Rattus norvegicus: one gene and its partners. The protein of the gene in region 3 interacts with the protein of the main gene of each other region in a pairwise test. Links are inferred from orthologs where the notes say so. Each region holds a gene or a part of one and is shown on either strand. Other genes may lie near its edges.

Region 1 (3,650 bases), on a different chromosome or scaffold from region 3:
GGGGAGGGGCTGGCCATAAAGAAAGCAGAGGGGAAGGAGGACAATAATGAAATTATATTGTTATTTTTCTCTTGGTGATTCAGTATCCTTTGCTAACTAATGAAGTTGAATAATTTAATATGGTCTTCAGAAACAAAACAAAGCACAGCTAAAGCCACCAAAGCTATGGGATTGTTTTTTTTCTGTTATTGGTTTGATCCTAACATTCTTCTCACAAAGTGACCCAATATCTATTCAACCAACAGGGATCCAGCTGAAGCATGTGTCCTTTAGACCTAGTCAGTGTTTCAAAGTCCCCAACCTGTCACAGTTCCCAGCAGTTAGTATACCATACCCTTGCGGTACTCTCGCGGACTGAGAAAAAGCTCACAGTATGTTTATAGCCCACACAGTTCTCTGATGGTTCTGTGGCAATGGCAGTATAAAGTGAATAAGCCTCCAGGGCCATGCGAGAGGACAGGAGCTAGAGACGACCGTTCCAAACTTTCCCCCTGATAATTCCTTACCCGCCCCCCAGGAAATACGAAGAGATATACCCGCCCGATGTCGATGAGTTTGTCTACATCACTGACGACACGTACACAAAGCGACAGCTACTGAGGATGGAGCATCTGCTGCTGAAAGTCCTGGCATTCGATCTGACCGTTCCAACCACCAACCAGTTCCTCCTTCAGTACTTAAGGCGGCAAGGGGTGTGCATCAGGACTGAGAATTTGGCCAAGGTATGCCACAGGACTTCTGGGGACAGCCACCTTTCCAACCACCTTCCACGCCCATCCCTCCCGGGTTTCCATCTCTGTAGAGGTGAAAGGCAGTTGTCTTAAAAACACGATGCCTGCTCACCAGACATTGCTGTTGATGGTACTGGCAGGTCCCAGTCACGTAGCTCCCGACTATCAAAGACTCTTAAGCACGGTAAGCTCCCTTGAGAGATGCAGACCGCAGGCGAGCAGCGCCTTTTAACTTGGGAGCAAGGTAAAACGTGGCTGGGTTTTGTTTGAATCTTATTCTAATTCAGTAAGAAATAAAGCAGCACGAAATCTGCAGCCATTTTGATCTAGAGGCACTTAGTTGGAATTATTAGCACTCTGTCCTAGCCAGTGAGCTTGCCATGGGAAATCTGTGAAACACACGCTATTCAAAGAGTAATAAAGATGACCACAAAGATTTCCCTGCATTCTCCTGACACGTCTCCAATGGCATTGCTTGAGCTTGAGAACTGTATCAATTTGCCTAGCCATTGCTAGCTTCAGTATGGCTGTTTCTTTGCCTCCTGGCTAATGACTCTTTCTATTTGAGATGTGAGCTCAATACTCCCTTATCTGACCACCGTAAAGCCTGATCTACTAGATAAGAGAAGTAACCTATCACATATGCCGTGTGGGTGAGATAGGGTATGGGAACATCATCACAACACAAACATTAGTCAGTCGAAGGACAGTCAGAGCAACTATGGAACTAGGAAATATACCTGGCTTAAGTTTGGGGCTCATCATTAGATTCTGAGGGAATGAAAATAAGGAACCAATTGGTGAGTTTGGCAATTCCAGGTTTACTGACAATTTTAGTCAAATTGGACCTTGCTCAAATTTCTTACTCCACTGAGATTTTTCTCTCTTGCCCTTAGTATGTTGCAGAACTGAGCCTTCTGGAAGCTGACCCATTCTTGAAGTATCTTCCTTCCTTGGTAGCAGCAGCAGCTTACTGTCTGGCAAACTATATTGTGAACAGACACTTCTGGGTACGTTTCTGTCTTCTTCCTAAGTAGAACACATTCAAAGTTCATACAAAATCTGTTCAGTGAGTTCAAGATTCAGAATGGACACAAGCCTTCTGAGGGAAAGTTTTTTTCATGATAGCTGGTTGTCATGGCAGCAGACCACAGCTTGTTTCTGAGTCTTCTAGATCAGTCACCATGGCTTTGATGCCATGGCTTTGCTCTGTGGGAAGCAGAAATAGCACGGAATCAGGAAGGCCTGGGAACCTCAGTGCCCAACAAAATATGCATAGAGGGCCTTGAGGCTTAGCCATTGGCCATGCCAAGCTAAAGTTGATCCTAGACAGCTGGAGTGGTGCACACCTATATTATAAGTGCCTGTGAGGTGGAGGCAGGAGGATTGTTAGTCCAAGTCCAGTCTGGGTCTCAGAGGGAGACCATCTCAATAAAACAAACATTAGTAGCATTCAGCTTCTGTAACAACGACAACAACAAAACCCCTCCAAGTTCAGTAATGACTGTTTCTTGCCTCAGAAGGCAGAAAGATCAGAAACAGATCCCTACATTTTATTCTAAATTTTCTCGGAGTGCTAAAAGAAATGAGTTATCTACTTTTATTTCTTATGATACTAGATAACTCTTTTAAAAAATGTATTTATCTGCATGCACATGTGTTTGTGTGTGTGTATGAGAGAGAGAGAGGCAGAGAGAGAGAGAGAGAGAGAGAGACAGAGAGAGAGAGAGAGAGAGACAGAGAGAGATGTAGGTCAGAGGAGAACTTTTCTCCTCCTATCAAGGGTTGTCTTTTGACTAGGGATCTCTATTCTATGCAATCTCTCATATTTAGTGTAAATTATTAAGAATCAGTGAAAGCCCCACCCACATAGGATCAAGAACAGTGGTCTGCCTCTACACTGAGGGTTACAACTATACTCCTGCCAGTTTAGAACCCAGGCTGTTTGGTTCTAGTGTAAGGTTTCTAAAGGAAGGGGTTATGAATCTTTCTGGATGGATATACTTGCTCACCAAGAATTTCACTTCACCCTTCACTTCATAAGCAGTTATGTTCAGATTTCTAACCTCTTATAAAGTTACGTGAAGCAAAATTTCCTTTTCGTTTCAATTAGCCAGAAACACTTGCTGCATTTACGGGCTATTCATTAAATGAGATTGTGCCTTGCCTGAGTGAGCTGCATAAAGCATGCCTCAGTATACCCCATCGACCGCAGCAAGCAATCAGGGAGAAGTACAAGGCTTCGAAGTAAGTGGGCACTCTCCCTTCCTTGCTTTCTGGGTTGTTGTGGAATCAGAACAACAAAAAGAAGTAGAATAAATTCTATCTTTCATTAGGTTGGAAAACAAGGTTGCTCGCTAAGTCAAGAAAAGACATTTAGGAAGATCTAGCTAGATTCACAGTTTGCCAGCGTTTGGCAGTTATAGTTAGCTGGCTTCCTTCTGACCCTTCAGACTGCTGGAGGTTTTCTGTAGCCTAACTGGCATCCTTGGCCCTGGGCTGACCTGGCTGTGCTCTCGTTTCAGGTACCTGCACGTGTCCCTCATGGAGCCACCCGTAGTTCTTCCCCTGCAGTGAACGGGTCAGCTCAACAGCCACACCAGCAGGCTTACTCTGACCTGTTACAGTTTTCTGCGGGTCGGGCCAACTAATGTCAGTTGTAGATGTCACCTTCAACATATGAGTGTTAGGTTCTTTTAGACGTCGGTAGTTTATAATTTATATAGATATAGACAGGTATTTTAAAAGAATAAACAACTTGCTGTGTGGCCATGTGTTGGGCCTCTTTACTAGTTGGCATAGCTGACACAACAGGCATCTTAGTTGCGAGTTATATCGTAGCTGTGTCAACACCTTCCCAAGTTGGTTGCATAAGCATCCCACACTTTGATGATTAAGTGCTTTGAGGCGGCCAAGCCT
Region 2 (3,088 bases), about 7.8 Mb from region 3:
ACCAGAAAATCAGACTCCAGAAATGAATAGTAACCGGAAGAGGTCAGGAAGGGGAGGGGCAAAGAAGGAAGGCATATTCAACATGATTTGCATAAACCATCCCATATCCCACCCCACCCTCCCCCAAAATTTTCAAAGTGCTTTTCTAGTGGAATGGTTTATAACAACATTAAACTGTGGACCAGACGCACCAATCAGCACCAAAAATTAAGAGTTTTTTTTTTCTTCTTCTTCTTCTTCTTCTTAATAAGGGATAAAAGATCACCTCACCCTCTTCCGGTTACACAGAAGCTTTGTTTTCAAAATTCCATCTGTGGTCTCCATCTGCCCCCATTAGATGAGTTTTTTTTTTGTCACGGCCCATAGCTAATTCCCTCCATCAGATAACAGTGGGAAACGTCTACAATGAACCATGTTTGGAAGAAGACGCCCAAATTCACCAAACATGAGACTTAGGAGCCAATCACCTGCGTCCAACTGGCAAAAGACATATCCCTTAGGTAGCAGCTACTGTAGTCAGCAGGAGTAGGCAACGTAGAGACCCCACCACGCTCAGTCTTGGGAACACGTGGTGAGGCATCAGGACGCTTCTTACATCCAAAATGGTTCAGTCGTGTGGTTGGGTGGTTCTGCATAACCTCCCCAGCGTGTCCCTTCTCATTTCTGATTCCTTCTTGGGTTCAATGCTTTGCAAACTACTCATGCCGCACCGGCATCCATGGTTTCTTGCAATTCTACTAAAGGGGGCATATGCACTAGTTCCCAAGCACAAGAGACAGTCTCCTCTAATTCGTTCCCATACTGCAGGTATACATGTTCTCTAGCTAGTCTGAGGGCTCTCCTGTAAGCATCTCACTAGAACTCTTACATCATCACATGATAATGGTTCGCATATACAAGGGATCCCTTTCTGCTGGACTTTGAACAGGTACCACATGTGCCTCAACTATATGGCCTTTCCCTCTCACTTCTAAAAGACCTTTAAATATGATCTAGGTGGGGGTAGATTTTGTTTTTGTTTTTGTTTTTGTTTTTTGTTTTGAACTTTCATCCTAAAACACAAAAGAACAAGACATAACTAGAGAGAGAGAGAGAAGGGGCTAGCAGATGACGAACACGCCTCTCTCTTGCCGCCCGAATGGCTTCCTCACAGGTCAACATCCCGCACGTCTGTAGGGGTGGTGGCTTGGTCCGGATCTTCCACAGACTTGGAGCCGTTGTGCTGCTCTTGACGGAACTGCTGAAGGCTGTTAAGCAGCACAGCCTCGATTTGCTCCTGGCAGGCTTTGAGACAATCCTGGAGGAGAGAGATCCAGGCCAGAGCGATTAGCACATGCAAATGCATACAATGCCTCCCAAAGGCAGACACAATCCAACTCACATCATCATTTCCCTGGGAAGGAAAACAGAAACGCTCTCAAATGGCACAGAAACTCAGTACACAAAGTGGGGTCCACAGCCGGCAGCGTCAGCACCATCTGGGATCTGGCTAGGAGCCTATCCCAGATCGAGCGGATCAGAGCTGACCCTTCTGCTGAAGCCCAGGCGTTTCCTATTCTAAACTTTGACTGGAAGGTGATCTAGCTATAAAAGTCGTTGCCTGGTCATCAAGGGATCAACTGGAGGTTTTTCTGTCTGGGAAAGGTGGCACGGAAGGTTTGGTTTCTGCAAGGTGCTATACTGTAAGCCAAACAAGCAACCGAGGAATGGATAAGAAGGGTGGTGCTTAGCCGCTTAAAGTGTCCAGAAACGAAAAATCCCTGTACCCTCTGCTCATTTACCCTGCTCTTGGACCCTTTTCACAAAAACACAACGCATAATGTTTACAAAACTCAGGACACTCCAGCTTGTCCAATTTGGGAATAAGCAAGATTTTTCAGTGCCGCCTTTATTAGTCTATATTTGGTAGGGAAAACCCAGAGTGAGCCGCCCCAGGCAGAAGATTCTATTAGCTGGGAGACTTGGAATGTGAGGGCAAGTCGCGGCTGTCACTGGGTTGGGACTAAGGCTCAGGCTAGAAGGCTGGGGGGAGGGGCGAGCTGAGGAAACTGTCCCTAGTAGGGATTTTCACCTTAGCTTCTCCTTGCACCACAAAGCAGTCAGTGCATATAAAACCGGTGTTGAGCTGAATCTCCTGGTGTCCCCTCACAGCTCAACACACACTTCCCTGTTTAGACCTCATCACCTAGAAATTGCTGGGTTTTCCCCCCCCAAACACAAAGGCATTATCTTTATTTTCTGAAGACCTGAAAATAAAATTGGCAACAACCGCCAAGGAGCAAAAGTTTCCATCTTCTACCCCCTTCCAACCTACCCCACCTCGACCTCCAGTTTATCTTTCCTATCTGCCCCTCAGTTCAAACTGTAGCTTGAAGATGAATGACAGCAGACCAAGAGCAAAGGTCAGAGGTTGAAATGTTCTCCTGAACCTAAAAGGGGTGGGAAGTAGGAGGGAGTTTGGTGCTCACTCCATGCTGGCCCGGTATAGCTCCACTTGCAAACCCCAATTTCTGTTTCTCCGAGTATAAAATAAAGCAGCAAATCAATGAATAACCAATGTTTAATGCGCGCGCGCATGCGCGCGCGCGCGCGCGCGCGCGTGTGTATGTGTGTGTGTGTGTGTGTGTGTGTGTGTGTGTGTGTGTGTGTGTGTGTGTGTATGGTTTAATGGCTCCATCTGTCCTGGAATCTGAAAGAATCCTTCGGATTTTGAGACTACATGTTTCTTGGGCTGGCTTTAATCAAGTGATGCCCCTGCCTCAGTCTCCTGAGTAGCTGAAACTTTAAGCACGCAAACGTGCCCATGTTAGGTTTCTTTGAACAAAGGTATAGATTACCAATTACTCAAGACAAGGATGTGCCACAGGTTGGTCCTAGAGAGAGTATGGTCCAGCATTGTGTGTGTGTGTGTGTGTGTGTGTGTGTGTGAGAGAGAGAGAGAGAGAGAGAGAGAGAGAGAGAGAGAGAGAGAGCGCGAGAGAGAGGGGGAGACAGACAGACAGACAGACAGACAGACATCAGGCTAATTTCAACAGTACCAAGTAAAGGACTTATGTGCCAAGGCTCTAACATCTCTAATTCTGCTCTT
Region 3 (3,750 bases):
CTGGGTTACTCTAATTAGGCAAGTGGGGTGATGAGATTTTGACACATGGAAAAATCCACACTTGTGCTGGACCTTCTCAGTTGGTCCTAACATCTACCATCCATTTCCCCTATAAACATCCAAACCATCCTGTTCCAGCACAATTAGCATACGGCGCTGACGTGTTAGAGGACTGCTTCCTCTGGCTGCTCATTTAACTTCTGCTTTGTAACCTCAGGGTTAAAATCAGAAATTCTGTGGGAGCGTTAGTACTTCTGAACTTTCCATTCTAATTTTTTTTTTTTAAAGTCCCTTTCTTACTCTCCAAAATTTACCAGCATACAAGGAAAGGCACAACTTTAAAAAAAAAAAAAATTAAAAAAAAAGTACAGGGAGGTGGTGGCAAAATGCCTCTGATCCCAGCATTCAGGAGGCAGAGGCAGAGGCAGCCAGATTTCTGTGAGTTCAAAGCCAGCCTGGTCTACAGAGCAATCTCCAGGGCTGTTTGTTAACACAGAGAAACCCTATTTCGAAAAAAAAAAAAAAAAAAAAAACAAACCCAAAAACCAAAACAAAAGCAGAAGAACACAAGACACTCCTAACCAAACCTGCACTACGTGTACCTGGTTTTTCTTTTAAGAATATAAACGTAATTATATATTTGCCATTTTTCTATGGTTCAAACGGCTCAAAATAGGTTATTGGCTGAAAACGAACCTCTGGGAAATGGGTTCTCATGAAGTGAGAATGGGAAGGAAAATTGTCATTTCCAGCTTAAGTTTTAATGGGATTCAGAAGGATATAACTTTCCCTATCCTTTGGGGCCTTGGTGGCAAGTTCTTGGGACACTCATTCTGGTTCCATTTTAAGGTAAACATCTTGGGATACAAATACTGCATACAGTCCCCTCAAGTGATTCCAGCCTTCCTCAGTGTTAATTTTTTGACCTAGGAAAGTAATTCCTCCTGGCAGGCAAGTAATCTGCCAGCAGTTCTGGGGTCTGCAGCCCCCCCCCCCCGGGGGAGCGCAGCCCAGCTAGGGTGTCAGTTTTGTGCTCTTCCTCATTAACCCACCGGAGCTGTTTACGTCTGGCGTCGAAGGCCGGGCTTCTTGGGCGTCTGCTCCACAGTGCCAGCATTCGGGGAACCGTCTGAAACATTTTCTTCTGTTCTGTTGGCCCTTTTGTTTTGCGAAGAAGAATCTAAGAGGGGGGCAAGGGGAAATTTTTAAAAGAACACACACAAACCATCTTTATTATCGAGAACAATGGCTGACAGAAGTTGGCCCAAGAGTCAGGGGATGATCAACCCACTACCTCCACCCACGACCCCAGGACCCGTCATCCCCGGTAGCCTCTAAGGACACAAAATGAGGTTGTTTCCACTAACACAAGGAGTATTCTACGCCCCACGTCTCTTTTTCTCCCCCTAGCCAAGAAGGAGGCAGTTGGTAAACATCCTAACTTTTGTCACATATCTACAGCTGGCTAGAGGGGAGGAACTGTGACGCGTTAGGCTGGGGAAGTTATCACATCTTACTATCTCCGGCTTCTGACTTCAAAATCATAAACAGGCCAGGCAGTCAGCTGGGGGTATTTCAAACCTAAGCATCAAACAGGCTCGATCTCCCAGAACTAAAGCAGAACACGCAGGAAAAAGCAAGCGAACAGGGTCTAGCAAAGAGGAGCTACGGAGACAGACAGACATTTTAAGTTTTCCAAAGAATCATCACCTTCTGCCGCAGGTCGCTTCCTCATCCCTGGACACTGCTCCGCTAACCCAGCCGGACTGTCTGACGAGTCAGGCATTTGGTCCACCAAATGCCGGTCCTCAGAGTTTGCCTGAGACCCAATTGAAGGCACCGCCTGGCGGCTCCCGCTGACATCCAAGCTCTCCTGCGCCGGCACCTTGCAGGCGCTCTTGGGGGGGCGCGGGGGTCTGTAGTAGAACTCGGGCAAGCTGCCCCTCTCCACCTCCTGCCACTCGTATCTGCCCTCCAGGGGCTTATGATTCTGAAAGTCGAAATTCCACTTGCGCTGGCTCGCTTCTTCCATATCTCGGCAGTGCTTCTCCAAGTCCCGGGTTAGTTCTTCATGATTGACCGGGCCGAAGAGGTTTCTGCAGGCGGAAGGCTTGGGGTGCTCGGTTTGTCTGGCGTCCATCCGCTCCAGGCTCGGGCTCCCGTTAGACACTCTCACGTTTGACATCTTCCTCCCCGGGCGGGTGTGGACCACCGCCTCGCCTCTCTCCGAAAAAAAAAAAAATGAAATGAAATAAACAACAAAACCAAACAAAAGCGAAACGCCCCTGCCGCAGCGCAAACCCCACTTCGAAGTTCTGCGACTGCACACAGAGACGGCCAAGTGGAGTAGAGCCAGGCGAGCGACCGTCCGAGCCGCAAGAGCGCGCAGGTCTTGGGGAGAGAGGCGCAGGGACGCCCCGGCCGCGCAGCTCGAAGCTTCAGTGATCAAGTGTACTGGAGGGCGGGGAAGGGAGGGGAGGAGGCAGGAGGAGGTGGCAAACAGTCGGAGTGTAGGCTGGGGCGAGCCCGTGGGTCCCGCGAACGCAGCCCCTCTCCAAACCTTGCCGCCGCGCAAGTCTCGGAGCCGCGAGTGAGTCGGGACAAGGGATGAGGGGGGAAAAACACCCCGAAAGCACGAGCCCCCCTCCTTTTTTAGTTGCCCAATATGGCGGTGGAAGGGAGGCTGACGAAGAAGAAGATGATTGACAATGCAAGTCTATTTAAACAGAGGAGGAGCTCCATTGGTCTGGGCGCCGGGAGCGGCTCCGCCCAGGCTGGCGAGCGCGCTCTTAAGGTGGCCCCGGGCGCGGCGCCGCCGCCTCTCCGCGCTCCCGAGCGCGCCGCCTCCCCGTACCGCCGCCAGGACATTGGCTGGTCGCGTGACTACTCGGAGGTGTACGACTGCCAACAAACCTGCTCTGGCTGGCCCCGGAGAAATTAAAAATAAGACAAACAAACTAGCCAAACGGCCGGAGAGCTGGGGAGGGGCCAGCGCGGCGGCCAGGCGGAGACCCGGGAATCTAGGTCCGGGCGCTGTAGAGCTGCGCTGGCAGGCGCGCCACCGCTCCGGACTGCGACCTCCAGGTCTTTGCCCGCGAAACCCAGGGCCTGGGCCAGTGAGCTCCGAGGTCGCTGGCTGCTTGTTTGGAGCCTCAGTGGCTAGTTCAACCCACCTGCATTCGCCGAGGTGGGAATGAGGGAGGGTAGGCGAAAGATCCAGGAAACCTTGGCTCGGTGCCTGGGATCCCCCCCCACCCCCACTCCCCGCAGGGTGACTTAGCTAGGTTGCGGGAATCGGCCGCTTAGCCTGACCCCAGAAGTCTCTGCTAAGTAGGACAAGCCGGAGACGGCTTCAAAAAGGAACCAGGACTGACGACTCTTATCAGGGTGTTTCTGAATCCAAGCACTCCCATCTCGAGATTCAAAACCCTCAGTGCTCTCTCAAGCCTCTTCATCTGCTTTATAGCCATCAGACACTAAGTTTTGAAAAAGCCAGCTCTGATTTTTCTTGGTTCCCAAGCACAGTGGGAACCAAGTGCTTTCCAAGTGGGAAAGCCATTGCTATAGGCTGCGTGTGGGAACTCGCCTCTATAGTTTCTATACTCTGCAGTTCTTCTCCCCCAGAGCTGAAGCCGTTTCCTCCACCTGAGTCCAGACGCCAACTACAACAGCTCCTTCCTTCCTCCCCTTTTCTCTCCCACCAGCCTGTTGCTTCCAACCTACTCAGAACAATATTCAAATACAAGCAAA

What was found.
Region 1: the proteins of Cdkn1b (region 3) and Ccna1 interact in binary tests that used the Homo sapiens proteins (3 or more experiments, as listed by UniProt). The link is inferred for Rattus norvegicus from reciprocal best matches to the Homo sapiens genes CDKN1B and CCNA1.
Region 2: the proteins of Cdkn1b (region 3) and Ccnd2 interact in binary tests that used the Homo sapiens proteins (3 or more experiments, as listed by UniProt). The two-hybrid records come from large-scale screens. The link is inferred for Rattus norvegicus from reciprocal best matches to the Homo sapiens genes CDKN1B and CCND2.

What each region holds. Positions count from the first base shown.
Region 1 is NC_086020.1:141,383,201-141,386,850, reverse strand, and holds the end of Ccna1 (cyclin-A1), read left to right. Parts: intron 1-517; coding exon 518-722; intron 723-1,627; coding exon 1,628-1,741; intron 1,742-2,844; coding exon 2,845-2,978; intron 2,979-3,256; coding exon 3,257-3,308; coding exon of another isoform or gene 3,309-3,382; 3' UTR 3,383-3,498; downstream 3,499-3,650. UniProt on the Homo sapiens protein: May be involved in the control of the cell cycle at the G1/S (start) and G2/M (mitosis) transitions. May primarily function in the control of the germline meiotic cell cycle and additionally in the control of mitotic cell cycle in some somatic cells.
Region 2 is NC_086022.1:161,652,448-161,655,535, forward strand, and holds the end of Ccnd2 (G1/S-specific cyclin-D2), read right to left. Parts: intron 1,298-3,088; coding exon 1,148-1,297; 3' UTR 601-1,147; downstream 1-600. UniProt on the Homo sapiens protein: Regulatory component of the cyclin D2-CDK4 (DC) complex that phosphorylates and inhibits members of the retinoblastoma (RB) protein family including RB1 and regulates the cell-cycle during G(1)/S transition.
Region 3 is NC_086022.1:169,490,351-169,494,100, reverse strand, and holds the start of Cdkn1b (cyclin-dependent kinase inhibitor 1B), read right to left. Parts: upstream 2,598-3,750; 5' UTR 2,561-2,597; exon of another isoform or gene 2,225-2,560; 5' UTR 2,186-2,224; coding exon 1,711-2,185; intron 1,181-1,710; coding exon 1,062-1,180; 3' UTR 1,053-1,061; intron 1-1,052. UniProt on the Homo sapiens protein: Important regulator of cell cycle progression. Inhibits the kinase activity of CDK2 bound to cyclin A, but has little inhibitory activity on CDK2 bound to SPDYA. Involved in G1 arrest. Potent inhibitor of cyclin E- and cyclin A-CDK2 complexes.